Stegostoma tigrinum: one gene and its partners. The protein of the gene in region 1 purifies or fractionates together with the protein of each later gene. This does not show direct contact. Links are inferred from orthologs where the notes say so. Each region holds a gene or a part of one and is shown on either strand. Other genes may lie near its edges.

Region 1 (6,841 bases):
AAAAGATGGGCAATGCCCATATTCCATGGAAGATTTAAAATAAAATGTTAAATAAATGATAGTTTTATGCATTGTGTTCAAAGGTAAGAATATGGACATGAGTGTTAAGTGTAGACATAATGAGGATATATGTTCAGCTAAGACAGTCTCTTGTGTGACAGGTGCACATATTTTTCTAGCTCACAGCAGAGGGTTTCTTCCATTACCTTGTTACACCTGCAGCCCTTCATTCTCTGCAGGCTTTGTGAAGATGTCACTTTGCAAGACAAATTATTGAAACATCATGAAACAACAAAACTTAGAAACCTTTCATATTCTATATTGATGTCACCCACATTACCAAATGTTTTTGATGGTAGTGAGTACATGCACCTCAGATTAATTGCTGGTGTTTTGAGAGGTCTCATAAGCAATGGATGGGTTGGTTGAGACCACACTCAGCATCTTCTTCGCAGCTTTGGTCTTTTTACATAAAAAAAACTTCCCATACAGGGAGTGCAGCAAAGGTTCACCAGACTGATTCCTGGAATGGCATCTTTGTCTTTTGAGGACAGACTGAACTAACTAGACCTGTATCCACTGGAGCTTGGAAGAATGAGTGAGGATCACATTGAAATGTATAACATTCTGACAGGGCTGGACAGACTGGATGTAGAGATGAGGTTTCCCTGACTGGGGGTGAGAAAAAAGATTGGTGGGGGATGAGGGGAGGTTGGAGGGTCATGTCCAACCAAGGCATTCACAATTCCAGCATATAGGGCAAACCATATCGGACTGAGATGGTCAGAAATCTTTTCACTCAGAGGATAGCAAATGTACAGAATTCTCTATCATTTTCTGATGAAGGGTCTAGGTCCAAAACGTCAGCTTTTGTGCTCCTAAGATGCTGCTTGGCCTGTTGTGTTTATCCAGCTCAACACTCTGTTATCAAGCAATGTAAATGCCATTTCCTTTGGGTTTCTGCAATCCTCCTGCTGCAGTTTCAGTAGACCATGGGAAGGTAAACTAACCCCATAGTCAAAGGGAGATGCATTCTCTGATGCTGATATTCACACATTAGGTTCCAATCCCCCACACTCAGGTACACTGAAGTGCAGCTAAAACACTGACAAAATCCACTGGTATCAGGCATTATACCAACCTGTACTTAGCAACATATCAGACCCTATATGACCCGAACGCCCTTGCAAGGAAAGATCATAAATGCGACAAATTGTGCAAAGGATGAGATGAACACATAGAGGCTTCAGTTTTTAACAAAGTGTAGAGCTGGATGAACACAGCAGGCCGGGCAGCATCTTAGGAGCAGAAAATCTGACGTTTCAGGCCTAGAGCCTTCGTCAGAAATGGGGGAAGGGGAGAGGGTTCTGAAATACCCTGGATAGAGGAGAAGATAGGTGGAGAGGAGACAGACAAGTTAAAGAGGCGGGGATGGAGCCAGTAGAGGTGAGCGTAGGTAGGGAGGGGAGTGGTCAGTCCGTGGAGGATGGACAGGTCAAGGGGGCGTGATGAGGTTAGTAGGTAGGAAATGGGGGTGCGGCTTGAGGTGGGAGGAGGGGATAGGTGAGAGGAAGAACAGGTTAGGGAGGTGGGGACGGGCTGGGCTGGTTTTGGGATGCAGTGGGGGGAGAGGAGATTTTGAAGCTAGTGAAATCCACATTGATACCATTGGGCTGCAGGGTTCCCAAGCGGAATATGAGTTGCTGTTCCTGCAACCTTCGGGTGGCATTGTTGCGGTACTGCAGGAGGCCCAGGATAGACATGTCGTCTAAGGAATGGGAGGGGTAGGTGAAATGGTTCATGACTGGGAGGTGCAATTGTTTATCATGAACCGAGCATAGGTGTTCTGCAAAGCAGTCCCCAAGCCTCTGCTTGGTTTCCCTGATGTAGAGGAGGCCACAATGGGTACAGTATACCACATTGGCAGATGTGTGGGTGAACATCTGCTTGATGTGGAAAGTCTTCTTGGGGCCTGGGATGTGGGTGAGGGAAGAGGTGTGGGGGCAAGCGTAGCACTTCCTGCAGTTGCAGGGGAAAGTGCCGGATGTGGTGGGGGGGTTGGAGGGGAGTGTGGAGCGGTTAAGGGAGTCCCGGAGAGAGTGGTCCTTCTGGAAAGCAGACAAGGGTGGAGAGGGAAAAATGTCATTGGCAGTGGGGTCAGATTGTAGATGGCGGAAGTGTCGGAGGATGATGCGTTGGATCAGGAGGTTGGTGGGGTGGTACGTCAGGACGAGGGGGATTCTCTTTTGGTGGTTATCACGGGAACGGGGTGTGAGGGATGAGGTGCGGGAAATGCGGGAGACATGGTCGAGGGTGTTCTCGACCACTGCGTGGGGGGAAGTTGCAGTCCTTGAAAAACGAGGACATCTGAGATGTACGGCAGTGGAATGCCTCATCCTGGGAACAAATGTGGTGGAGACGAATGAATTGGGAATAGAGGATGGTATTTTTACAGGAAGGTGGTTGGGAGGAGGTGTATTCTAGGTAGCTGTGGGAGTCGGTGGGCTTGAAATGGATATCAGTTTCTAGGTGGTTGCCGGAGATGGAGACAGAGAGGTCCAGGAAGTTGAGGGAGATGTTACAGATAGTCCAGGTCAAGTTGAGGTTGGGTGGAAGGTGTTGATGAAGTGGATGAACTGTTCGAGCTCCTCGTGGGAGCATGAGGCAGTGCCGATACAGTCATTAATGTTACGGAGGAAGAGGTGGGGTCTAGGGCCAGCGTAGTTTTTTAATTACTTTTATAAATTGTCTCAGTTTCTTATGAAAGCCTGTAAAATCCTTCACAAAGGCAAAGATAACAAAATAAAGTCATGTGCAATATCTCTGCTGGTTTATTGTTATATTTAAGAGACCAGGCACACAACTAATAATCAGGTTTCCTTGTTTCACAATGGGAGCATATATCCAGTAACAATTATAAATGGCAATGATTTGAATAGATAAGGAGAAGATCATCACATTCCACTGCAGGAGAGAAACAAAATTAAAGCAAAGCTGTTATGTATCAGTTCTTTACATTCAGATTCTATGGTAATGTGATTATGATACAGAATTAAGAACCTTGTGTTACACATAATGCACAGCCAAAAATAAACTAAATACTCAGCAGTCATTTGTAAAGAGTTCAGGTTCATGACCCTTTATCAGAAGGAATACAGTAAAATAATTTATATCCCACCAGGGAGGGTCTAGGCCCGAAACGTCAGCTTTGCTGCTCCTAAGATGCTGCTTAGCCTGCTGTGTTCATCCAGCTCCACACCTTGTTATTTCGGATTCTCCAGCATCTGCAGTTCCTACTATCTCAGGGCTAAATTAATAACTTCCTGGTTCTTCCTTTCAAATTTAATGTTAAAAATCATAAGCCTTGCTAAAAATTCGAAAAAAAACGTTTTTACTGAGTACTGAATAAAGGATAGATATTTAGGAAAAAGAAAGGGGCCGTTTAAGATATTCTGTTTTCATGCAGGAAAGGAGGATGGCCTACCAGAAACTGTGGGTGAAGCAAAATCCATAACAGTTTAAAAAATGTGACTGATAACGATAAATATTTAAAATATGGTGGAAAAGAACACACGATAGAACTAAGTAAACATCAGCTTTACAGGAAACTATAGGCAAAAAGGCCTAGATGACCTCCTTGCGTAACATTCAAATCACAAATTCCTGACACCTCTACGTCTGCGCATGTGTCAATTTCCAGGCTGGGAGAAAGGGAACGCCGGCACATCACGTGACAGTACGCATGCACGCGATGACGTAACCGTCGGCCTGCGGCAGTCCGTTGAAGAACCGCCAATAGCGAGCGAGCGACGGGCAGGCGTCGTCCAATTGAAGCGCGGGCTCTGTTAAATGGGCTTAAAGTGCGGTGGATTTGAATTTAAACGGTAGAAGGAGCAGAGTGAAACGGGCGGTGAGATAGGCAGAGAGTGGGAGGTAGGTTGATTGTAAAGGAGGGGGTAGTCTGGGGGCCTGGGGAGAGGACTTTGGTTCGTCGCCTCTTCAGTGCTGGGGCTGGAAAAGGCCTCCCACCTCGCTATAGTCTGTGTTCTTAACCGTGATCTGGTTACCCTTTCCTGTGCCTTTGGGGCCCTGGTGTAGCCATCTTCAGTTTTGCTCCAATCTCCCTGAATCTGAGGGAGAGATATTCCCCATTGCCCTTGCCCCTTGCCCTTCAATCATGCCCTAACTTGTGTGTCAAGGTCAAGCTGGGGGATGAGAAAGTGGGGGCTCAGCCCTGTCTTCCCTGAATGTCGAGACGCCATATCACTCCTCCGCTGGGATTTTCCACGTAGCATTCGATTGTGGTGTATTTGTGTAATTTACTTAGCCTTTCAAATTCTTAATGGCTTAATATTAACTCGGCCAGTGATCAATACTGGCTACTCTGTTAGAAGTAGCAGCAGCACTTCGGAGATATTAATGGGTGCCGAGAAAATTTCACTTGCTTTGCTCTGAGCTGAAGTTTATATTGCTGGTACATCGTGGGACGCAATCTCTTTTTTTTCTTAGGCTGGATTAATTTAATTGCGTGGCAAATTCGTTTCTTTGAGTTTTAGCGTTCATCTAGTATTACTCATGGCTCTGCATGATAACTTCAATCAGTTACAAGTTTTGTCTCTTTTTACTCTTGTGTGGAGATTGGCGTGAGAAACGTATGGGATCAAAATCAGAAACTGCTTGGAAAAACTCTACAGGCCTGATAGCGTCTGTGGAGAAAAAGCAGAGTAACTCTTAGTATGCAGTGACTGCGCAGACTTTTGTCGTTAGTGGTGCTGATGCTGGCCTATCGCCAAAAAACATGTCTGCTACAGCACAGACCAGCTGGATTGGTGGGGTTAGGAGGATAATTTACAGCATGAAACGCGGCTGCTGTTGAGACTTTAACTTGTGTGAGGCGGTCCTGTTTTGTGGGATTTTCTTTTTCAGTAGTAGTTTTTTTTATTCAAGCCCTTGCAATAAAATGCAGCAGGAATCACTATACACTTCTGTTTTCTAATTTGTGCTATCTCTATCCACCAAGTACAAGTCTATGGATGTGACGAATGAGAAAACTTACAGGGAGGAAATGGCTTTGTTAACTGCTAATATGTGCATAAATAGATCTAAATTTTAATTCTGTTAAGCACACAGGGTTTTGTTTCAGGCTATTTCATTGGGACAGATACCCAGTGGGTTTTGACCTAGAAAATACTTCTCTAGGAAACTGTATGTGTTTGGTTGCTGCTACCCAGAGCTGCTTCTACTGGATTCAGGAAATCATATTTTGTGACTTGTGCTTTGATAGCTTAAGTTCTGCAGTGGAAATTCAAGCCTTCAGCTACCTGACCTCCAGAGAGAATATTACAAATAGCCTAATACAGTATAATAACTTTTTAATTTCCACTTGCAGGATTTTAGATTACAAATGGAAAAAAGGGTTGCAAGCCAAGGAGGACATGCTGGAAAGGTATTTTTGCTGCCAATTGAAATATTAATTAATGGTTATGATGGAAATAAACTGTTGAATAACTTAGTAGTCAGTCATTGATGTACAGCAGGGAAATAGATCTTTGGTCCAACTTATGCATGCCAAATAAACCTCGTCCCATTTTGCCAGCATGTGGCCCATGAACCTCAATCCTTCCTGTTCATAATTCATCCAGATATCTTTGTAAATGTTGCAATTATACCAGCCTCCTCCAGTTCCTCTGGCAGTTTGTTCCAGACATGACCACCTTCTGTGGAACAAGCTGTCTTTTTAAAATCTTTTCCCTTTTGCCTTAACCTATGTCCTCTAGTTTTGGTCTCCCTTACCCTGGGACCTTGACTATTCACCCTATCCATACCCCTTGTGACCTTTGAAACCGCTATTACGTTAGCCATTGGCCTCTGACACACCAGGGGAAAACAGCCCCAACCTGTAACTCAAACCCTCCAACCCTGGCAACATCCTTTAGTCTGTTCTGAAGCTTTTCAAGTTCATCAACATTTCCTATAATCAAGGAGGTCAGAGTTGAATATAGTATTTCAAAAGTAGCCACAACCTGTCCCAACTCCTATACTCAGTGATAATAAAATGTGAGGCTGGGTGAACACAGCAGGCCAAGCAGCATCTCAGGAGCACAAAAGCTGACGTTTCGGGCCTAGACCCTTCAGAGCTCTCTGATGAAGGGTCTAGGCCCGAAACGTCAGCTTTTGTGCTCCTGAGATGCTGCTTGGCCTGCTGTGTTCACCCAGCCTCACATTTTATTATCTTGGAATCTCCAGCATCTGCAGTTCCCATTATCTCCTATACTCAGTGTACTGACTTTTGAAGACAAGCATACAAATTTCATCTTTGCTAGCCTGTCTACCTGTGATTCCATCTTCAAGGAACCATAAATCTACTCTAAGGTTTTTTGACAACACTCCCTAGGATCTTGCCATTAACTGTGTAAGCCCTGTCCTGTTTAGCTCCAACAAAATGTCGGACCTTCTATTTATATAGATTAAACTCCATCTGCTGCTCCTTGGCCCATCCTTACAACGTTCTGTTGTATTCTGATGCAACCTTCACTGTCCACTTCACCACCAATTTTTGGTGTCACCTGCAAACTTACTTAGCATGCCTCCTATATTCACACCCAAGTCACTTGTATAAATGACAAAAAGCAGTGGATCCAGCACCTGATTGGATATTGTTCAGTAATACAAAACCTTAATGCTTCTGAAAAATTGCCTTCTCTAAGGCATTACATCTAAGAATGAGTGATAATGGGAACTGCAGATGCTGGAGAATCCAAGATAATAAAATGTGAGGCTGGATCAACACAGCAGGCCCAGCAGCATCTCAGGAGCACAAAAGCTGACGTTTCGGGCCTAG
Region 2 (7,790 bases), on another chromosome or scaffold:
GACCCATGGTGCCGCTACCTGGAATACCAACCTACAGATTAGCCAAGGAACTACACCAAAGACTAAAACACCTAGTAGAAGACTCCCGCCACTCCATTCGCTCCACCCAAGAATTCCTGAACACCATCAAAGACACCAAGGTAGAAGAGGATGAAGTAATGGTCTCCTTTGATGTAACAGTCCTGTTCACATCCATCAACATCAACCAGGCCAAAATAACACTGACTACACTATTAGAAGAACCAAAGACACATACACCAGACACCACCAACCTCATCAGCAAGGACAACACCATCGAGCTAATGGACCACCCACTTCACTTTCAATAACAAAACCTACAGACAAACCAACGGTACACCCGTGGGATCTCCGATATCAGGGTTCTTAGCAGGGGCAGTAATGCAGAGACTCGAACAAACAGCTCTGCCAATCATCCAACCCAAACTTTGGGTCTGCTATGTGGATGACACCTTTGTCATCAATAAACAAAACAAATTAGAAGAAACATTCAAGACCATCAATAATACCCTTACTGGCATAACATTCACAAAAGAGGAGGAAAACAACAACAAACTGCCATTCCTAGATGTCACAGTAGAGCGAACAGCCAATGGGGAACTTCAAACCAGCGTCTACGGGAAAATAACACATACGGACCAAATACTGAACTACAGGAGCAACCATCCCAACACCCACAAACGAAGCTGCATTAGAACATTATTCCAACGAGCCACCACACACTGCAGCACAGAGGAACTACGAAGAGCAGAAGAAAATCACCTATACAGCGTATTCAAAAAGAATGGGAGCACAAAAGCTGACGTTTTGGGCCTAGACCCTTCTTCAGAGAGGGGGATGGTAAGAGTGAACTAGAATAAATAGGGAGAGAGGGGGAGGCGGATCAAAGATGGAGAGAAAAGAAGATAGGTAGAGAGGAGAGTGTAGGTGAGGAGGTAGGGAGGGGATAGGTCAGTCCAGGGAAGACGGACAGGTCGAAGAGGCGGGATGAGGTGGTAGGTAGGAAATGGAGGTGCGGCTTGAGGTGGGAGGAAGGGATGGGTGAGAGGAAGAACAGGTTAGTGAAGCGGAGACAGGCTGGGCTGGTTTTGGGATGCAGTGGGGAATGGGAAGAACTCCCCCCACTGCATCACAAAGCCAGCCCAGCTCGTCCCCTCCCCCCGCCCCCCACTGCATCCCAAAACCAGCCCAGCCTGTCTCCACTTCCCTAACCTGTTCTTCCTCTCACCCATCCCTTCCTCCCACCTCAAGCCGCACTTCCATTTCCTACCTACCACCTCATCCCGCCTCCTCGACCTGTCCATCTTCCCTGGACTGACCTATCCCCTCCCTACCTCCTCACCTATACTCTCCTATCTACCTGTCTTCTTTTCTCTCCATCTTCGGTCCACCTCCCCCTCTCTCCCCATCCCCCTCTCTGAAGAACGGTCTAGGCCCGAAACATTAGCTTTTGTGCTCCTGAGATGATGCTTGGCCTGCTGTGTTCATCCAGCTCCACACACAGTTCAACTCTTGCCCCATTTGAAATCAGCTCACTGTCAATTGATTTTTCTTACTCTGAATTGTTGCATGCCATTCTCCAACACTATCTTTCAACTGTATGGTACAAAAGACACTGTCTACTAACTGTTTCCCCCCCCACTGATATTTGATCCATCTGCCAGAGACAGATCATTTATTTTTTTCTATAGTTTTGAATTAACTGTTTCTTTCAATTACTGATCTTGAGAGCTTGATAGCCTCTCCCTTGATTATTCACACAACTGTGCTTAAATTTTCTTAGCTTTGACCAAGGCCTTCAGGTTTATTACCAAAATATTTCTGTTCTGGAATTCTTACATTGATGTAAGCTATTTCCTAACTGTTCTGGACTAACTCCTTGTTCCAGGAGAAATTGTTACATCTAAACCCAGCAAGGTCACATTTGAATGGAAATCAAAGGCTTTCCAATCTGTCGGTATTTCCTAAGAGAAAAACTATCGAATCTTCAAAATCAAAAACAAGGGAATATCTTTTAATATTTGCTCTTTAATTGTCTTGCTGTCAAAATACAAATAAGTCCATGTTATTGCTCTAAGAGAATGTTTCACATCTGCTCTGGCACATACCGGTTTTAAATCATCACTCCAGAATCATCCACTAGTTAATTACCCCATTTATCACAGAGGTGAACAATCCATATGCAGCTGGTTAAAGTCCAAACTCTCAAATAAACTGTACAAATATATAAGTATGCCCAATCTATTTTTATATGCAAACAGTGATATAGTACACAATTACATGTTTGTATGCAGAGCCATCACAACTTTTACAGATGAAAGCGAAATGAAAAGACAAATCATATTACAAAATTAAACTAATGTCTAAGATTCCTAACAGATACAGTGGTACTGTACTATGTATTCTAATTTAGCACAGTGCTCCAGAATGGTGAAACAGATTTCCTTCAAATTTCCTTATTCAAAGTTCAGCCCTGCTTGACTGAGATTTTTTTGAAGAGGTGACCAAGAAGATAGATGAAAACAGCGCAGTAGATGTTGTCTGCATGGATTTTAGCAAGACCTTCTACGAGGTTCTGCGAGATAGACTGGTGAGTGAGGTGAATTCACATGGGATTCCAGAGACACCTAGCCAATTGGATACAAAAATAGCTTGATGGTAGAAGACAGAGTGGTGGTAGGGCTTGTTCAGATAGAAGACCAATAGTGTACGGCAATGATTAGCGCTGAGTCCATTGCTGTTCGTCATTGCTATCAAATGATTTGGATGAGAATATAAGAGGCATGGTTTATAAGTTTGTGGATGACACCAAAATTGGTGGTTTAGTGAACAGTAAAGGTGATTATCGAAGAGTATGATGGGATTTTGATCCAGTGGGCCAAGGAATAGTAGATGGAGTTGAAAGCAAGCAAATTCAAGGTATTGCATTTTGGAAAGACAAACCAGGTCAGGACTTACACTGTTAATGTTAGGGCCCTGGAGGGCACTGCCAAGTGGAGAAACATAGGGGTGCAGGTACGTAGTTCCTTGAAAGTGGTGTCACAGGTAGTCAGGGTGGCAAAGAAAGCATTTGGGACAGTTGCCTTCATTGGTCAGAGCTTTGAGTACAGGAGTTGAGATGTCATGTTCCAGCTGTATACAACATTAGTAAGGCCCCATTTGGAGTACTGTGTATAATTTTGGTAACCCTACTATAGGAAGGATACAAAGAAAGATTTAGAAGGATATTCCTAACATTGGAAGGTTTGAGTTATAAGTAGAGGCTGGGACTTTTACTTAAGCATAGGAAGCTGAGCGGTGACCTTACAGAGATTTATAAAATCACGAGGGTCGTAGATGAGTTGAATTGCCAAGTTCTTTTCCCCAGGATAGGGGAGTTGAGAACTAAGGTGCATAGGTTTAATGTGAGAGGGGAAAGATTTAAAAGAATCATGAGGTGCAACTTTTACAGGTAGAGTGTGGTATATACATGGAACAAGCTGCCAGAGGAAGTGGTAGAGGTAAATATAATTACAACATTAAAAAGATATTTGGCGGATAGGAAAGGCTTAGAGGGATATGGGCCAAATTATGGCAAACGTTCAGTTTAGGAAACCTGGTCGGCATAGGCGAGTTGGGCCGAAGGGTCTGTTTCCGTGCTGTATGACTCTATATAAAAATAATAGAGTGGAAGCTTCAAAGATACAAGTATTGATCAACGTTCTCCTGTTAGCTCGCTGGGCATCTTGACAGTGTTGCGCGCCAGGGGCAGGTTAGTAGAGAGCTTTCTATTCCAGATGGTTAGATAAAGGCTATTGACGATATTTCGCAGCTTGTCGCCTGTCGCGCGCACAGTCTCAAGTGTCGACTGCCTGCCGCCGCTGAGTGATTGAGGTCGGGGCTGTGTTGGTTCTGGGACTGGAGGCGAGGCAGGCTGGACAGTTTCCAAACACAAACACGGAGAATGCTAGAGAAACGCAGCAGGTCTGGCAACATCTGTGGAGGCGGAAACACATCTAACGTTTCGAGACCGGTACTTTGAGTAAGAAACGTCAACTCAAAACATCATCTAAAAGCGAAAAACTACGATGCTACAAACCTGAAACACACAGGGGCAATGTCGGAGAAACTCAGGAGGTCTGAAAAATAGGCATAACCGGGTGGCTGGAAACTTTAACTGTTTCTCGCTCCACATTTGGTGCCAACTCTGCTGAGTTTCTCCAGCATATCCGGTGCTTGTTAACAAAGTGTGAAGCTGGTTGAACACAGCAGGCCAAGCAGCATCTCAGGAGCACAAAAGCTGACGTTTCGGGCCTAGACCCATTTTGTGCTCCTGAGATGCTGCTTGGCCTGCTGTGTTCATCCAGCTCTACACTTTGTTATCTTGGATTCTCCAGCATCTGCAGTTCCCATTATCTCATATCCTGTGTTTGTTTCGGATTTCCAGCGTCCGCGGTATTTTGCTTTTTAACATTCCACCGGGGCACGGCTGACACAAAGCTGGGTGTCACGGGGATTGTTTGTTTGTTGTTGCTGCTGCTGCTGCTGCAAACAGGAATGGTAGGGAGGCGACATCCAAGATGACAGCTTGTGAATACGGTCTATCTGTCCGCAAGCAGTTTGTTGACACCGCCAGCCGCAGCGATTTCCGGCCTACCCGACCATAACCAGCAACCCGATTGGATGTCAACTTCGCCCGGTTCCCGCAGACCAATCGGAATTCTTGGTGCATCAGGGTGGGCCGAAAGAAGTGGGTGGGGGTGCGAGGGAAAAAAGGGAGGCGAATGCGCGCGCAGCCTGCGGCCCATCCAGGTGGAGAGGCGAAGGCGTGGAAGGAAAAACACATTTAAAAAAAAACCATTTATAAAGAGGCCGGGGGTGGTGTATCGAACAAGAAAAGGCTGTGAAATGGGAAGGGAGGGAGGAATTAAATAAGAAAGCAAGTTACCTGAAGGGAGAAAAGGCGGGGTGCCGGCCAGAAACCGGGCAAGTAGCAGCGACAGCAGGGGAGGGGGAGGGGAACTGAAAACCGTCGCCATCCTCCCGAACTCTACCTCCTAACCTCTCCCTCCCCTCAACAACAAACACACTCAATGCATCGTTACAGCCGGGGGTAAGCTTCACTTCACGCTTACGTGTGTGTGTGTATACATATTATGTATATATTTATACTTTTAAAAATGCGTGCATAAATATCTAATCAGTGTAAATAACTGGTACTTGCTAATCCGTCGTACGGCTCTGCCTCCCTCCTCCTTCTCCTCCTCCGGCCGCGTGGCTGCGCGAGCGCCGCCAACGGACTCCCTTTACTAGAACGTTCCGCCAGCTTCTCACGCGCGCTGTGGCCGTTAACGGACGCCGTCTCTCACCTCCTGTTTGAATTTTTATTTCTTTTGTACCAACGGTGGTAAAGAGTTGGATTTTTAAAAATGTACTTTTTTTTTCTTAAATAACTCTTAACCCGGCCCACTGCCACCCAAGCCGGGGATCTTTACCCGACCCATGGATGCGACCTTAGCGATCAGAGGCCCAACAGATTTTATTGTTCGCATCCTCCCACCGTCCCCCCTTTTAAAAAAAATGAGAGAGACACGGTGGGGGTGGGGGGAACGGGACGGTGATTTGGATATTAAAGGTCTGGGCCGCTTAGCCTCGGAGTGGGAGTAGGTGGCTAAGGTGCGAGGCCTACTGTTCGGGCTTCTTTTCCCAGCCTCTCGGGTCTAATTGCGATTGGTAGGTGTTGCCTCTACATAGACACATCAGTTTCTCCCCCCGCAACCCCAACCCAGGGGGTGCCGCAATTCTTGGGGATCGTGTCTTAGTGCTCATTATTGGAGGCCGTGTTAAAGGACTTGTGATCCCGCTGGCTCTATCCGTTGTCGGCGGAGGAGAACGGGGAACGGGGCAGCCGCTGCTGTCTCGGAGTTAGAGGCAATAGAAACGCTCCCAGGAAACCAGTCTGCTTTGCACCTCCTGGTTCTTCTCAACCAGATCTTTAATATCTTTGGTTAGAGACCAAAAAAAAGTGCAGATGCTGGAATCTAAAGTAGTCAAGCAGGAGGTTGGAAGAACGCCGGAAGCCAGGCAGCATCTGCAGGAAAAGAGCAGTCATCATTTCGAGTATTCTAGCTGAAAGTTAACTGCTCCTTTCCTCCAAATGCTGCCTGACTTGTTGTGTTCTTCCAGCCTTTATCTTTAATACCTTTCACCTGCTGGGGGTTTTCTTAGTTCACATCCATTTTTTTTGCCTACTGTGCACTGGTACTCATGTTATGCCCTAGTTTCATTGATTTTTGTCCAGTTTAACAGCCTTTGAGGGTTTGACTTATTGGTTAACATTGTTAGTTTCTTCTGAGCAAAAACAGCTTGCATTTATATAACACCTTATATTTAAACATCCTAAAGAGCTTTCTTTATTTAAAAAATTATGTTAAAGGAAGTTGAGCAGAATCATGGAATGTATTAGAACAGATGACTAAAAATTCATTCAAATAAGTAGATTTTAAGGTGTTTATTCTAGGACATAGAAATTTAGCTTTCAGGAATTAGACAGTCGTAGGTATAGATGGCTAACCATGGTTGGGCAAAGGAAATCAGTAGTATGCGAAAGTTCAGAAAATTCCCCATTACATTTTTGGCTGTGGTCAAATCTTCTATACGTAGGTTTAAGTCGAACTAGCCTCACCTCATCTGATGTCCACATGTTGATGCCAAGTAGAGCTGTTAGTAAAAATTAAGTTGTCTTTTTTTAATTCATTAACGGGATGAGGGCATTGCTGGCTAGGCAGCATTAATTGCCCAGAGGGCAGTTAAGAGTCAACCACATTGCTGTGGGCCTGGAGTCACATGTCGGACAGACCAGACAAGGATGGCAGTTTCATTCCCTAGAGGACAGTTGTGAACCAGATGGGTTTTTCCCAATAATTGACAATGGATTCATGGTCATTGTTAGACCCCTAATTCCAGATATTTATCAAATACTAATTCCACCGTCTGCCATAGCGGGATTTGAACCCAGGTCCCCAGGAATACAACGTGGGAAAGTGAGAGATGATGCACTTTGGTAAGAAGAACAGAAGCATGGACTATTTTCTAAATGGGGAGAAAATTCAGAAGTCTGAAGTGCGAAGAGGCTTGGGAGTTGTAGTCCAGGATTCTCTCACCTTAAACTTAAAGGTTGAGTCAGTAGTTAGGAAAGCAAATGCGACTTCTGCGTTTATTTTGAGGAGACTCGAGTATAAAAGCAAGGTTGTACACCTGAGGCTCTGGTCAGGCTGCTTTTCGAGTATTGTGTGGAGTTTTGGGCCCCATATCTCAAGAAGGATGCGCTGGCCCTGGAGCAGGTTCAGAAGAAGTTCAGGAGAATGATTCCAGCAATGAAAGCCCTGATATGAGGAACATTTGAGGACGCTGGATCTATACGTGATGGAGTTTAGAAGAGTGAGGGAATTGAAACTTACAGAATGATGAATGGCCTGGACGGAGTGGATATTGGGAAGAAGCCTCTGGGGGTCCTCTCGGGTCCTGTTGGTAGGAGAGACAGGACCTGAGAGCACAGCCTTAGAGTAAAGGGAAGATCTTTTAGATCGGAGACAAGGAGAAACATCTTCAGCCAGAGATAGATAATCTGTGGAGTTCATTGCCACGGTGATCAAAGGTTATGGGGAGAAAGCGAGAGAATGGGGTTGAGAAACTAAGAGCCATGATTGATTGGCAGAGCAGACTCAGTGGACTGAATAACCTAATTTCTGCTCCTGTGTCTTATTTTATTAAATTTTTATGTTTGGTCGCAT
Region 3 (7,024 bases), about 16 Mb from region 1:
CGGAGAGAGTGGTCTCTCCGGAAGGCAGACAAGAGTGGGGATGGAAAAATGTCTTGGGTGGTGGGGTCGGATTGTAGATGGCGGAAGTGTCGGAGGATGATACGTTGTATCTGGAGGTTGGTGGGGTGGTGTGTGAGAACGAAGGGGATCCTCTTTGGGCGGTTGTGGCGGGGGCAGGGTGTGAGGAATGTGTTGGGGGAAATGCGGGAGACACGGTCAAGTCATTCTCGACCACTGCAGGGGGAAGTTGCGGTCCTTGAAGAACGTGGACATCTGGGATGTGTGGGAGTGGAATGCCTCATCCTGGGAGCAGATGCGGCGGAGGTGGAGGAATTGGGAATAGGGTTTGGAATTTTTGCAAGAGGGTGGGTGGGAGGAGCTGTATTCTAGGTAGCTGTGGGTGTCAGTGGGTTTGAAATGGACATCAGTTTCTAGCTGGTTACCAGAGATGGAGACTGAGGTGTCCAGGAAGGTGAGGGATGTATTGGAGATGGCCCAGGTGAACTTGAGGTTGGGGTGGAAGGTCGGCGCCACCTCTTGCTCCCCAGAGGAGCTCGAACACTTCACCAACACCTTCCACTTTCCAACTGTCTTTTACCTGCGAATCGTCTCTCCTAATCAACTTTTGAAAGTTCTTGCCTCATACCATCAAAATTTGCCTTACACCAATTTGGAATTTTAACTTTTAGATCAGATCTATCCTTTTTGATAACTATTTTAAAAATAATAGAATCATTAATCACTGGCCCAAAGTGCTCCCCCACTGATACCCCAGTCACTTGTCCTGCTTTGTTTCCCCAAGTGAAGGTTAAATTTTGTTCCTTCTCTAGTAGGGTACATCCACATACTAAATAGGTATTTTTTTCTAGTACACATTTAAAGTCCTTTCTATCGAAGACCTTAACACTATGGCTGTCCAAGTTTACGTTTGGAAACTTGGAATCTCCTACCATTACAACCCTATTATTCTTATAGATGTTTTGAGATGTCCCGTGGAGATGGACATGGAAGTCAGAGACCTTGGGAAAATAAATAGGAATATCTTGTGAACTGCACATATTATAAAAGGTAGTGGTGATGGATGTCTTAAAACACAAAGGTGGATTAATCACAGGGATCCAATCAAGTGAATCCCAGAACTCTGCGGGAGCTAGGGAAAAGATTGCTCGTCCACTTGCTGAGATATCTATATCATCAACAGCCATGGCTGAGATGCCTGAACATTGGCCAATGTGGTGCCACTATTTAAGCAAGATGGTAAGGAAAAGCCAGGGAAGTATAGACTGGTGAGCATGACATCAGTGGTGGGTATGTCGTTGGAGGGGATTCTAGGGGTCTGGATTTATATGTATTTGCAAAGGCAAGGGCTGATTAGGGATAGTAAACATAGCTTTGTGTGGGGGAAATTAAGTCTCACTAACGTGATTGTGATTTTTTGATGAAAGACAAAGAAGATTGATAAAAACAGAGTAGTAGATGTCATTTACATGGACCTTGACAAGGTTCCACATGGCAGGCTGGTTAGCAAGGTTAGATCATGTGGAATCCGGGGGAAGCTAGCCAATTGGATACAAAATTGGCTTGAGGGTAAGAAACAGAAGATGGAGGTAGAGAAGTACTGTACCTCCCAGTCACGCGCCTTTCAACTCTCCCTCTGACTCCTTGGATGACACGTCCATCCAGGGCCTCCTGCAGTGCCACAACAATGCCACCCAAAGGTTGGAGGAGCAGCACCTCATTTTTCGCTTGGGAACCCTGCAGCCCAAAATCTCCACTCCTGCAACCGCATTCCAAAACCAAGCCAGCTCATCCCCACCTCCATAACCTGTACTTCCTCCCACCTCAAGCCCCACCCCCATCTCCTACCTACCAGCCTCTGATTTACAGCATCTACAGTTCTTTTGGTTTTTATGAAAAGAAAATGTGTGTGTATCAAAAGACGACTGGTCAAAAAGTTAAAACTTGGACAGAACGAGGAACACCAAGATAGCTATACCAGTGAAAACTGAATTAGACGTATACCTAGAAAGTACAAATACTAAAATGAACCTATATTACACCACAGTGTAAGAACTAGTACACTACTGGCATGTTAATAATAGGTAGTAAATCACAAAGTTTCTGTTTAATTGTAAGGGGTTCACTCTGGGAATCATTTCTAAATTTTACAACACAAAACGGGGAAAATACATAGTCCATTCACAATCTGTAAAGAAACAAATGACGGATCGACATTTCATCAGAACGAATCTCCTACATCATCGTAATCTAAAGATCCGGCTAGACAGATGTATAAATGTCCATGAAGCTGCAATGCACTCTTCAGCATTCAACTAATATTACTCTTTTTTCAAATAGTCTCTGCTCCGGCGCTAACGTGGCAGAACAATATGAGCGTTGGGTTTATAGAAGTGAGTGCATGAAAGAGAGAGGGAGGAAGCAACAGTCTCTATGAGGTGAAGGTTTGGTTAGGCACAAACCAAACGACTGGAGTCCACTGTTTATAATGAAATGAAATCACTGAATGGCCAACATAGCTGTACACCGCTGCAGCTGTCCAACCACTAGCTCCCCTTCAGGATGATTTGCAGACAAGGGGACGGGGACAGGAACAACAACGAGGCCTCAGCCGGCAAACACACACCTTAACTTACTCATCACGACTCACTGACTGACAAGAGGTCTGGACCAATCCCAGAGGCCGCTAACCTCCCTCCGGCCAATCAGCTGCCGGGGAGGAGGGCGGGACACAGCCGCCATCACCCTTAGGTTGACTGACTCATTTACCGGCTTTTTCATCCCGGCGACGGACGGACAGGCTCGCAGCCGCCTACTCACCTCTCCAAGGTCGCCGCTTCGGTTGACACTAGGTCCCCTTCAAAAGAAAGGCGCGTTCAGCCTCGGTGCGAAAAAGAACAGCGAGTGAAACCCGCTAGTCAGTCCGACACCAACCACCTCAGGAACAGGCGGCCGCCATCTTTGACGACGTTGCATTTACAAGAGGCTTTTGGGTAAAGTGGCCTCTGCACAGTGTTGAGTGATGATGTGTGAAACTGGGTGGAGGTGTGTATGAGGTATCAATGATGAGAGCATAACATATCGCATAATGCATACCGGTGTATTAATACCTCCATTGGCTCCTCCTTGTCCCAACTTCACCACTTTTGCCATCAATCCCCCTCTCCTAGGATACTTCCATGGTAGCTTAATGAACCAATTCATTTTGGCTCATATGAATAAAGAGCTAGAAATTGTAAATCTTGAAAACAAAAAATTGCTTGAAAACAAAAGATATCCAGCACACCCATTCAGCATCTGTGGCCAGAATATAAGGGTTAAAAATGGTTCATACCTTGTTGTAGCCAGGTGTACAGCATTTTACTTTTTCAGCTATGTTGAAAAATATGAATACAGTAACTTGCTGTAGGTGCGCACTAATAACAGCGCAATGAGGGCAACATGAAATATTGGACTTGGTCTGCCTGCTTAACAAAAATACGAGATGGCATTTCTATTTAACACCTACATTGGGCTATCTTGAGATGTTGGCGGGGAGCGTTTCCAAGCAAAATTTGACTTCCAAGCTGCAAAATGCATTTTTAATCAAGTGACTGAAAATTTAAACAAAGTGGTGGGTTTTAATAAGATTAGGAATGTAGAGAAGAGAGATTTAGTGAGAGATTTCACAATAAAGCTTAGGCGTACATAATCAGAAGTGTGCAAGAGAGCCATATTAGGATGATTAGCTGGAGTACAGAGATCTTGAAGGGTTGTAAGGCTAGAGGAGGTTACAGGTCTGGGCAAGGCCATGGAAAGATTTGCAAGGAAGTATAAGCACCTTGATATTGATGAATTGCCAGACTTTTCAGTCAATGTTGATTTGTGAGAATTGGTTTACAAAGAGTGCAAAGTGGAAAACCAACCAGCAAATCATTGACGCAATCAAGCCTAGAGGTACCAGGTGAATATCTCAGCAGCAGATAACCTGAAACAAGGGTGGAGACAAATTATGTTATTGGAGGTAAAAGTAGCTGATTTTGGTGATGGAATATATATGAGATTGGAAATTCATTTCGGTCAAATAGGAAATCAAAGTTAGGCATGTTTGATTGAAATAATATCCAGAGAGGGATGAAGTCACTGACTGGCATGCAGAGTTTGTGGCAAAAGTCCAAAATGATTTAAGAATTCAGAAGGAAAGAGCATAGAAGGGAAGAAGTGTGACTAAAATGGCTGGAATAAAGTTAAATCAGGTATAGAAAAAAGGGAGTGAAAAAACACCTGTTTAAAGAGAAAGGAAAAGTAACATAAACATTTTTAAAAATTGAAATTTTAGAAATCACAATAATTTACAGCCTGCAAGAATGTGATAGTACCATATAAATTGTTCTCCTTCTGCCCAGATGTTGATTGAAGCAGTTGAAAATAGTATCTCCACTGTCAATTACCACTTCTAACTTTCTGTAGCTAGTTTAATGAGCACATCATGTAAAAATCCAGAACAGTTCTTAAAAATAACAAGGTAGTCTGAGGTATCGCCCTTGCAAAGCAGAGTTTGTGAAGGAATGGAAATTGACCAGAGTTCCAGAAATTTATCACCCATCTTGGCTACAAGATCACTAAAATTGAGACCAACATTTAATGCCACTTCCATCCATCTATCGTTCCCACCAAGCTAAACTTCACCTTTGTCCTAATTTTGAAATTTGACAGTTTTGGAAGACCAGATATTCTATCCATTAAATATGGTTAACTGCTTACTAACATGGTAGGTGAAGTTACAAACTCTGTTTCTTAGAAACAAGATTTTCCCTTCTTCCTCAGCCACTTTATTGTTGTTGAACTTTTGACCTTATACCTGGCTTAGGCAGGACCTCCCAAATTCATTATCATTTTCGAGGAGGAGTGAGGTAGCGGGTACATGGCAACTATGGCTTCAAGTTCCCCTCTAAACCACTCACCGTCCTGAATTGGAAGAATATCACTGTTCCACTATGGCTGGATTAAAATCCTGGAATTCTCTCCCTAAGGGCATTGTGAATTAAACTACAGCGCGTGTACTGCAGTGGTTCAAGAAGGCAGCTTACTACCACCTCTCAAGGGCAGCTAGGTATGGGCAGTAAATGCTGGCCAGCAAGCGAAGCCCACATCCGATGAGGAAAAAAAAAAGAAACAGAAATTTTGAAAAATTAGCAAGGAAGTAATGCTCAATTTGTAAATTACTGCTGTAGAATCATTCACGTGCACCTCAACAAGTACATGGGGCTTTAGCGTGATATCTCATTGGAACAAAGGCGTCTCTGGCAGTATAACTCTCTGTCATTATTGCACAGTGGGCACCCAATATAACGTACAAAATATCCATTGAGAAGTTTTGCTGGTGATGGTGCAGAAGAGTGGGAGCAAGGTAAGGCAAATTTAACTTAACTATTATTGAAAAGGTGTTGGTCAGCTTCCTTCTTAAACCACTGCAGTGTGTATAGTGTTAAAATATCCTTCGTACTGTTAACAAAGGAGTTCCAGAATTTTAATAACAGGAAAGAAACAGCAATATATATATATATACTCCACCCCACAATGGTGAGTGGCTTGGGGAGAACTAGCAGGTTATATGTTCCTTGTTTCTGTAGGTAGCTGAGGTAACAGTTTTGCAAAGTGCTATAGTTCACTGCATATGTGAGACAAATGAGGCATTCCACACCAGTCTTCACCAATTGCTGTCCTGCATCCCCAAGGAAGACAGGTTGATTCTCCGTGGGAACTTCAATGCCAGAATCAGGCGTGATACCAACCTTTGGAGAGGCATGTTTGATAAGGAAAACATAAGGAAAATAAACTCCAACAGAGTCCTATTCCTGATGAAATGCATGGAATGTGACATTGTCATAACAAATACCCTGTACCACCAGAGGAATGACTTCAAGATTCCAAGATTTCTTGGCAACCCACCCCACACTCCAAACACTGACACTTGATAGACCATATCATAATTTGAGCAAGAGGCTGCAAAGGTGTCTGCATCACCTGCACCAAGACCAGAGCTAATGACTGCTGGACAAACCACTGACTAACCCCCTTACCATCTCCACCAACCTGGCCCCAAACCATCAAAGGCAACAAAAAAATCTCTACCACAGAGTACTCAATATTGCTGGTCTCAAAGACCTTGAGAATAAAGATGTACCCAGGCAGCGCCTCACATCCAAACTGGAGGTGATCAACAGATTCACAGGGTGCCCACAGTGCCTGGTCCACCCTAAAAGCCACCATGGTCACATCTGCTTGAGGCCACTCGGCCTGTTGAACAGGAAACACTAAGACTAATGAATGATCAAGAGATCCAGAATCTCCTAAATTGCAAACATAAGGGTTCCTGGACTGGCAGCTCTACCAAAACTTGAGTGAGAGGAAGGAAGTGTAAAGATGATTGAAGGACAAGATGAAACTAAGAGCCTGAGAATTATCACCAATGCTGCCTTTGCAAAATCTTGCAAATCCACTGGCAGGATGGGCAGTGAGCATCCTCTCCTAGGCCAATATCCACAGTGTGATGGCACAGGTTACCCAATCTGTGACAAACAGGCCACATTGTCCACATATCCAACCCAAGTCCCCCTAAATGAGTGCTGTACACTGAGCTCCACAACGGTAAGCAGTCACTAGGAGCATAGAGGAAACAGTACAAGGACAGCCTGAAGGCCTCACTGAAAAAGTGCACCATCCCCACTGACACATGGGAATTGTTAGCCCCAAAACTCTCAAACTGAAGAAACATCTTCAAAGGCACTGACCGCTTTGAACATAACCTAATAGAGCACTGAGTCCTGAGGAAGGGTCACTGGACCCGAAACGTCAACTGTGAATTTTTTTCGTCACAGATGCTGCCAGACCTGCTGAGCTTTTCCAGCACGTCTGTTTTTGTACCTAGTGGAGTAGATGAAGACTAAATGCAACAGTGGAAAGAGTGCACACTGGTGTAAAGAGTGAATGTTTAAGGTGCCAGTCTTGCAGAATGCTTTACCTA
Region 4 (7,427 bases), on another chromosome or scaffold:
GCTGAGAAATGAGAGGTAGTATTGAGATGTTAATGGGATAACATCTCATTAATTTTTGTGCTCCTTGTCTTCTCACACAGGGGTATGTGGAAACTGTCCTAAACTTCCAGCCAAAATAGGATTGGGTGGCTAATGTTTGTAAAGGTATGATTTGTAATTCTGTAAAAGGGTGAAACTTCTGTAAAGGTATGAAACTTCTGTTTCTACTGAAGTGGACAGGTCAGTGACCTCTGTTCAAGCCAGACACTTTGGCGGCTTGAAATCGTTACCAGTCACTTCGTGAACAATCAATGCTGTATTCTGTTCGCTATATGTTCCAAATGTAGTAAATGTTTTTTGTATCAGCCAAAATAGAGTATAAAAAGCGGGGACTGTCCACTGTTCGGGGAGAATTGCTAACGGAACTCAGCACTCTGTGCCAGGTTGAGTACAGCGATCCTCCACAGCTTGTTCTTGTTTAATAATAAAGGATTGTGTTTTTGTAGCCAGGTCAGTGTCTTGCTATTGCATCAAGTTTGTGCGGGTCTCCGAAAAACGAACCTAACAGTATTAGAAGAACGAACAAAAGACAACGAAAGCTTAATAGTATAATTTATAAAGTGTTACCAGAATAGACAAACCTAGGAACATGTGTATATAGATATTTGGAGGCCAATGGGCAAGTTAACAAAGCAGGAGATGCAATCCTGGGCTTTAAGTAAAAGACAGAGTACAAAATTCACGGAATTATGCTAAACCTACATAAAACACTACCTTGATCTCGACTGGGAGTACTCTGTTTAATTTCACAAAGAACATGAAAACTTTGGGGAAAGAAAAATGTATTAAACGGCTCTAAAATGAGGAATTACATTTATGCAAATAGATTTGAGAAATTGGGGGTTTGAATGAGATATTTGGACACAGTGAATAAATGACTGAAGCATGAATAATCAGAGGTGACAGATAGAAGGCAGAAAAAGTGAGGAAAAGAACGTGGCAATCCAGAATTGACTAAAGGCATAACTAATAATTTATCACTCCTGAATGATAAATACGAACAGTAACAAAGTGTAATTGGCCTTTAATTTCATATGGTATTTGCACAGTATAATATATTTCAAACTTGATGCATCTTCTGGGAAAATGGCAAACTAAAAAAAAAACTGAATGTATGAGTGTTTCTTTGATCATTAAGTATTTTAACTAATTACGCTTCAGTAAGATGAGTAAAGACACTCACCGAATCCAGCATTTGTATTACAAGAATGTTAACCAGACTAAAAATCATTGGCCCAATTAAATTACATTGCCGTTACCGCTCATTCAGCAATTTCTACTGAACAATACTACATTTAACATCAAGGAATATTCATTATAATCACATTCTCAAACATGTCACCAAAACGGTCCATGCATGTTAATCATCTACAATTTGTGGCTGAGGAATATATTTAATGGCCTACTTGAGCTGATGTCCAGGTAAAAAGGGCAACATGCTAGTTTGCGATTATTAGAGTTATAGACTTAATGCAGGCTGTTCAGGCAGCATTTATCTAAACTGAGACAAGAAGATGAACCAGCATAGCCATTCCACCTAAACTGCACATTTTTCTACTGAGAAGGAAAGCAGAGCATCCAGAGGAAACCCCAAGCAGACATGTGTAAACTCCACATTAGACAGTCGCCCAAGGCTGGAACTTAACTAGGTCTCTGGCGCTGAGGCAGCAGCGGGTCACCGTGCCACACCAAATGGGAACAAAAGTGTGCAGTAGAAGCTGAATCAATATTTTATCTTAAATAAAGAGCTTCTGTTTTTCTTCTCCATCCACATATTAATACTGAGCAGGATCTTGTAAGACTTAATCACTACTGCAACCTGCTCTGGCATATTCAACAGTATCTAAACACCCCCAACACCTCCAAATACACTACAGGAGCCTATTACTGTTACTAAATGCCTCTATTATCTCATCAAAAACTCCATCCTGTTTTAAGCAGATGTGTGATTTGCAATCACCCAGTCTTCCGGTAGCATTTCTGTACATTAAAAGGTTATAGCCAGTACCTTCACAATTTGAATGCTTGTTTCTCTCAGTATTCTCAGATGCATCTCGTTGAAAGTAACATTTCTTTATCAATCTTTAGCCTCTCTAGCATCACAACTAATTACTCTCTCACTTGAACCATTTAAGTCAATACTCATTAGCATTTGAACAATCTGCATAACAGTTTAGCATTAATAACTAAACCTCTCCACAACTCAACTCCGAAAGTTTCCACTCCTGGTACAGTCAACATTGAACCCAAAAAGAAGCTATAGTTTTAATCTGGAGTGAAATCTTCTACCTCAACCTAATTGAAACAAAAACTTACTTTTGGATCAGAATTAACCGTGATTAGTCAGCAACAAGTCAAGTTCCTCAAATGAACAAAATTTGTGAATTGTTTTACGAAATGATCCAATCCTTCGTTGAAGCAAACTACGTTTCACTTCAAGCGTCCCAGTTCAGCATTCAGGGGAGGCTTCTCACCTATTAGAGGTCCATTCTCCGGGAGTGGTGGGGTTAACACTTGTGATGTTTTGATTGCGGCGACATTACGCTGTCAATGTAAAGATCCACAGATAATAGCGCTAAGGAAGTCTACCTGCCACACATTAAATTTATGTCAAAACCCAAATATAAACAAATGCCACAGAACTTAGGACACAAGAGGTAAGGCCCCAAAAACGTAAGGGTACAGCCTAAAGCTGTAGTCTTGACAGGTCCCATTGCGTCGCTACAAACATAATCGACACTGAGGCGTCAAATAGATTTAGCAATAGACAGACACAAAAAAACATACAAAATAAAGTTCGGGGGTGGGGGAGAGCGGAAACTGTAACACGTTACCTTTAGGTCATTTTCTGGAAGATATTTGCACTGCCGAGCTATCTCCACATACTTATCCAGGTCCAGAGGCGCCATTTTGAGACACGGACTGAGCAAGCCCCAGGCCAATGACGCGCTTCCGGTATCTAAAGCGCCGGCCGCTGGCTAAAGAAACCGGCTTCAAACCTTCACCTTACCCCGAAACGCGTTCGATCGTTAATGACCACTTTGTATTGTTTGAAGATTGACCCCATTCCCCAGGACACACCGAAACTCTTTGTTTAATCCCACAGTTTTTACGCACCGCCCTCTCCATTGGCCGGCTCGGTGGTAAAGTTGAAAGTTCAAGGGTTGTAGATTCCCTTTAGCAACACCCGAGAAAAAAATTGGGAAGAACGACAGGTATGAAGCATTTGAGGCATAGGCTTATATTGCTGTAATTATAGCGAGTAACAGATGCTCTAACGGTTAGTCATCGAAGTGCTGAAAATCAGTAAATGGAATTTGGAGGGAAGGGGAATTGGAAAGTGGCATCTTTCAGTGCTGGCCTTTAAATCGCTGGAGTGACACTAAATTTCACATCAAACTTCCCTGTTTGGAGAAGATCGGCGTTTGTTCAAATATTCTCAGAATGTTCCATTTAAATCAGAAGAACATGAAGAGGCTGCTGTAAAAGATTGTAAAACGGGGCACGTGTCCAATATTTAATTTGCTCCTCATTGTTTTATTTTAAAAAGCCCACGAGATTAAATCAATCGTGACTGCGTGCAAACTGATGACGAAAAGACAAAAAAAAGTAGCAGTGATTGTTCAGTTATGATACTGACTTAGCAAATCGGGGCATAATCACAATCTGTGCGCATGATAAGAACCTGGAGGCATTGATTGTGATCTCTGAGGAAGACAGTGTCGACCTTCAAGAGAACATGGACATGATGATAGAATTGGTAGATAAAGGGCAGAAAACCAGACAATACGAAATAAAAATTACAGTTCTAAAGGATGCACAGCGCAGAGAGATGTGAGTGTGCATAAAGCAGTGAAGGTAGGACAGTTTGAAAGAGTGGCTGTTAAAGTGCACAGTTTCTTAGGCTTTATAGTTAGGAAGGAAGAACCAAGCAGATTTTGTTAAACTTGCTTAAAAATGCACTGGCAATTACATTTCATCCAGCTGTATGCATTGCACTGTACAGAATCTGGAAAAGATTCACGAGAATAATCTCCAGGATGAGGAACTTCAATTGCTTAGAAAGATTAGTGCTGTCATTATGTTTTTTCTGGAAGGCAGAGAGGAGCTTTGTTAGATGCTTTCAAAAGTCATGAAGGATCAGGTCAGAATGGAGAAGGGAAAAACAGTGGCCATTTATGTGAAAGGTTGAAGAACAAAAGGACACAGCCTTTGAGAAATTGGCAAAAGAATCAATGGTGATATGCGGGGGAAAATGTTTTTGATCCCATTGAGTGGTCAGGATATGGAATGTACATTGAAGGCAGGTTTAATAAAGGCGTCTAAAGGAAGAATGTGCAGGATTACAGGGAGAATGCAAGAGAATGTCATGAGATAAATTGTTAATTTTGAGATCCACTACAACACAACAGTTTGAATGGTGTTTTGTGGAACTGAAGTGAAGAATACAGTAGTTATCACTCAACTGCTAATATGCATAGTCTAGGGATATCAGACTAAGACTTTTAGCATTTTTGATTTTTCATCTCCACCTCAAAAATTGGTAGGAAAGCTTGAATGAGAAAACAGATTCAGAATTGCAGACAGCCATTGACAGGTAGTTTACGATATTTACATGCACCAATCTAAGTCGTAATGCCAATGTCAGATTTTATAAAGATGTGGAGGTGGACAAAACCTGAAGTCACATGATACCAGGTATAGGCCAACAGGTTTGTTTAAAATCACAAGCCTTCAGAGTGCTGCTCCTTCATCAGGTGAAGGCTGATGAAATCTTCATCTGGCGAAGGAGCAATGCTCCAAAAGTTTATGATTTTCAATGAACTTGTTGGACTATAACCTGCTGCCATATGACTTCAGATGTTGTAAAAGTTGTAAATTACCTTATGGTCGCATTGAGACTATAATATGCTGTGCTATGGGTTGATTTCATTTACTATAATTAAATAAATGCAAGTAATTTTTATACATTAACATAACATAAAAGTTTAAATCTTCAATGTCTGACAGTTTTATTCCAGATTTTTCGAAAGGCTATGGAATTGCTGACTGTCTTGGAGCCAGGGGAAACACCCCAAATAGCAACATGGTAGGCTGTCAAAGCATGTGTATATTTAACCCGACACTATATTGACAGGAATTGTAACTGTAAAGTGATACCTTAACACAGAGATAATGTCCCTATTTTTTCTTTTGTTTTATTTATTCACATGGTCATCATTTATTTCCCATTCCTGTTGTAGTAGGTCTGTACCACATGTAGGCCAGACCAGCTAAGGATGGCAGTGAACCAGATGAGATTTTTTTTTCAACAATTGAGCCACTTCATGATCATCATTAGACTCCTATTTCCAGACTTCTATTGGATTCAAATTCCATGACTGCCATGAGGTAGTAGGAATTGCAGATGCTGGAGAATCTGTAATAACAAGATGTAGAGCTGGATGAACACAGCAGGCCAAGCAGCCTCATAGGAGCAGGAAAGTTCCTATGATGCTGGTTGGCCTGCAGTGTTCATCCAGCTCTACTCCATAACTGCCATGGTGGCAGTCAAACCGGTATACCTAGAAAATTACCTGGCTCTCTGGATTAACAGTTGAGTGATAGCACCACTAGGCGATTGTGTTCCTTTCTTTTGATGTTACAACTATACATGAATAACAAGTTGTGGAAAGACGATGTGTAAATCTGTACAGGACTGCTTGCCATGTCACTTAAAAAAGACACTAGGGAATGTGCAGAAATATTTACGGAAATTATAGCAGAAAACCTGTTTACACAGGAGTTCTGCATGGCTTATTGTTGGAACTGTTGCTGTTTGTGATGTAAGTTATAATTTGGACTTAAATGTAGGGGTATGATCAAGAATTTCATACATAGTGCCGAAGTTGGTATGGTGGGAAAGAGTGGCATAACTGCATGGAGTTTTCAAAGGACCAATCAGTTGGCGGGGCAATATAGGTTGGATTTTAACCTTGTAAAGCTAATGCACTTGGAGAGGGATTTCAAGGCAAGGGATTTTATAAATAGTTGGACTCCGAAAAGTAGTGAAGATCAGAGGAACCTTGGTGCATATCTTCAGATCCCTTAACATTGTAGGGCAAGGTAGGGTAAATAAGGTAGTTAAGAAGGCATATCAAATAACTTGCTTTTATTAGAGGCCAAGGATTTTATTCAAAGACCGAGGAAGTTATGCTAGAACTAGATAAATGCTTTTGAAGCCACAATTAGAATACTGAGGGCAGGTCTAGTTGCCAAAGTATTGGAAGAATATAACTGTATGAAGAGGGTGCGTGGAAATTTACCTGGATGCTTTTTGGGCTGGAGGTCTGAGCTGTACAGAAAGACTGCATAGGCTGGGATTGTTTTCCTCGAGGCAGCAAAAGGTGAGAAGGGGACGACCTGATGGAAATGTTTAAGATTGTGAAGGGCATAGATAGGGTGGATAGGAATGCATTTTTTCCTTTAGTTGAGGAGCCATTAACCAATGGGTGTAGATTTAATGCAAGAGGTAGAAAGCTAACAGGACAGTTGAGTTTTTTTTCCACTAAGAGGGTGGGGGGAGTCTGGGAGTCATTATCTAAGTCAGAAACTTTTGTAACATTTAAACAGTATTTAGCTATTACAGGCAGTCACCAAATTGTGAATGGGCTCCATTCTTGAATCCATTCACTAGTCAATTTTTACACAAGTGAGTAAGTGAAGCTTGATAATATAAAACAGCCTTTCTTATGTACAAGGCCAAATGTTGGATCTTTAAAATTAATATTCATACACCTCGTATGGGATTGCGTTTGTAAGTACGAACATTTGTGCATCGGATGTTGATAAATTGGCGATCCCCTGTGATTTACATTGCCATATCCTCCATGACTATGGGCCAAGAACTGGAAAATGTTATTCATGCTGTCCAATCTTTGACTGGTGCGGACACAATGGGCTGAATAACCTCTCTTCTGTAAATGTCCAAGGAAAGACTTGGTGTCTTTTCACTTGAAAAGAGAAGACTGAAGTCTGACCTAATAGAAGTACTAAATTGGGGGAAAGCTAACTACAGCAATATTAGGTAGGAACTGAGGAATGTAGAAAGGACGTAACAATTTGAGGAAATCTTTTAAATACTAATTGATTCAGGACCAGCATGCTCCTGTGAAAGTGAAGGATAGGGATAGCAAGATTTGGCAACCTTAGGTGACAAGAAATTGTGAATTTAGAAAGAAAAAGGAAGCATAGGTAAAGCTTAGGAAAATGAGGACAGACAGAGGCCTTGAGGAATATATAGAAAGCAGGAAAGAACATGAACAAGGAGCTGGGGTAACAATCTTAGCAAATGGGATTAAAGAAAAGGCTTTTTATACTTCTCTAAAGAGCAAGATGGTAGATGGGGA

The links.
Region 2: the proteins of aurora kinase C-like (region 1) and dicer1 purify together in Homo sapiens (affinity purification with mass spectrometry; 4 studies listed by BioGRID and IntAct, counting the BioPlex papers as one, with this or other methods). This does not show direct contact. The link is inferred for Stegostoma tigrinum from reciprocal best matches to the Homo sapiens genes AURKA and DICER1.
Region 3: the proteins of aurora kinase C-like (region 1) and arfgap1 purify together in Homo sapiens (affinity purification with mass spectrometry; 3 studies listed by BioGRID and IntAct, counting the BioPlex papers as one, with this or other methods). This does not show direct contact. The link is inferred for Stegostoma tigrinum from reciprocal best matches to the Homo sapiens genes AURKA and ARFGAP1.
Region 4: the proteins of aurora kinase C-like (region 1) and ppp6c purify together in Homo sapiens (affinity purification with mass spectrometry; 4 studies listed by BioGRID and IntAct, with this or other methods). This does not show direct contact. The link is inferred for Stegostoma tigrinum from reciprocal best matches to the Homo sapiens genes AURKA and PPP6C.

Annotation. Positions count from the first base shown.
Region 1 is NC_081372.1:47,185,458-47,192,298, reverse strand, and holds the start of aurora kinase C-like, read left to right. Parts: upstream 1-3,820; 5' UTR 3,821-3,933; intron 3,934-5,389; 5' UTR 5,390-5,404; coding exon 5,405-5,446; intron 5,447-6,841. UniProt on the Homo sapiens protein: Mitotic serine/threonine kinase that contributes to the regulation of cell cycle progression.
Region 2 is NC_081363.1:6,496,106-6,503,895, forward strand, and holds the start of dicer1 (endoribonuclease Dicer), read left to right. Parts: upstream 1-4,781; 5' UTR 4,782-5,110; intron 5,111-7,790. UniProt on the Homo sapiens protein: Double-stranded RNA (dsRNA) endoribonuclease playing a central role in short dsRNA-mediated post-transcriptional gene silencing.
Region 3 is NC_081372.1:31,570,539-31,577,562, reverse strand, and holds the start of arfgap1 (ADP-ribosylation factor GTPase-activating protein 1), read right to left. Parts: upstream 3,010-7,024; 5' UTR 2,839-3,009; intron 1-2,838. UniProt on the Homo sapiens protein: GTPase-activating protein (GAP) for the ADP ribosylation factor 1 (ARF1). Involved in membrane trafficking and /or vesicle transport.
Region 4 is NC_081382.1:26,604,271-26,611,697, forward strand, and holds the start of ppp6c (serine/threonine-protein phosphatase 6 catalytic subunit), read right to left. Parts: upstream 3,010-7,427; 5' UTR 2,949-3,009; coding exon 2,874-2,948; intron 1-2,873. Other genes in the region: rabepk (rab9 effector protein with kelch motifs), read left to right, coding at 5,076-5,128.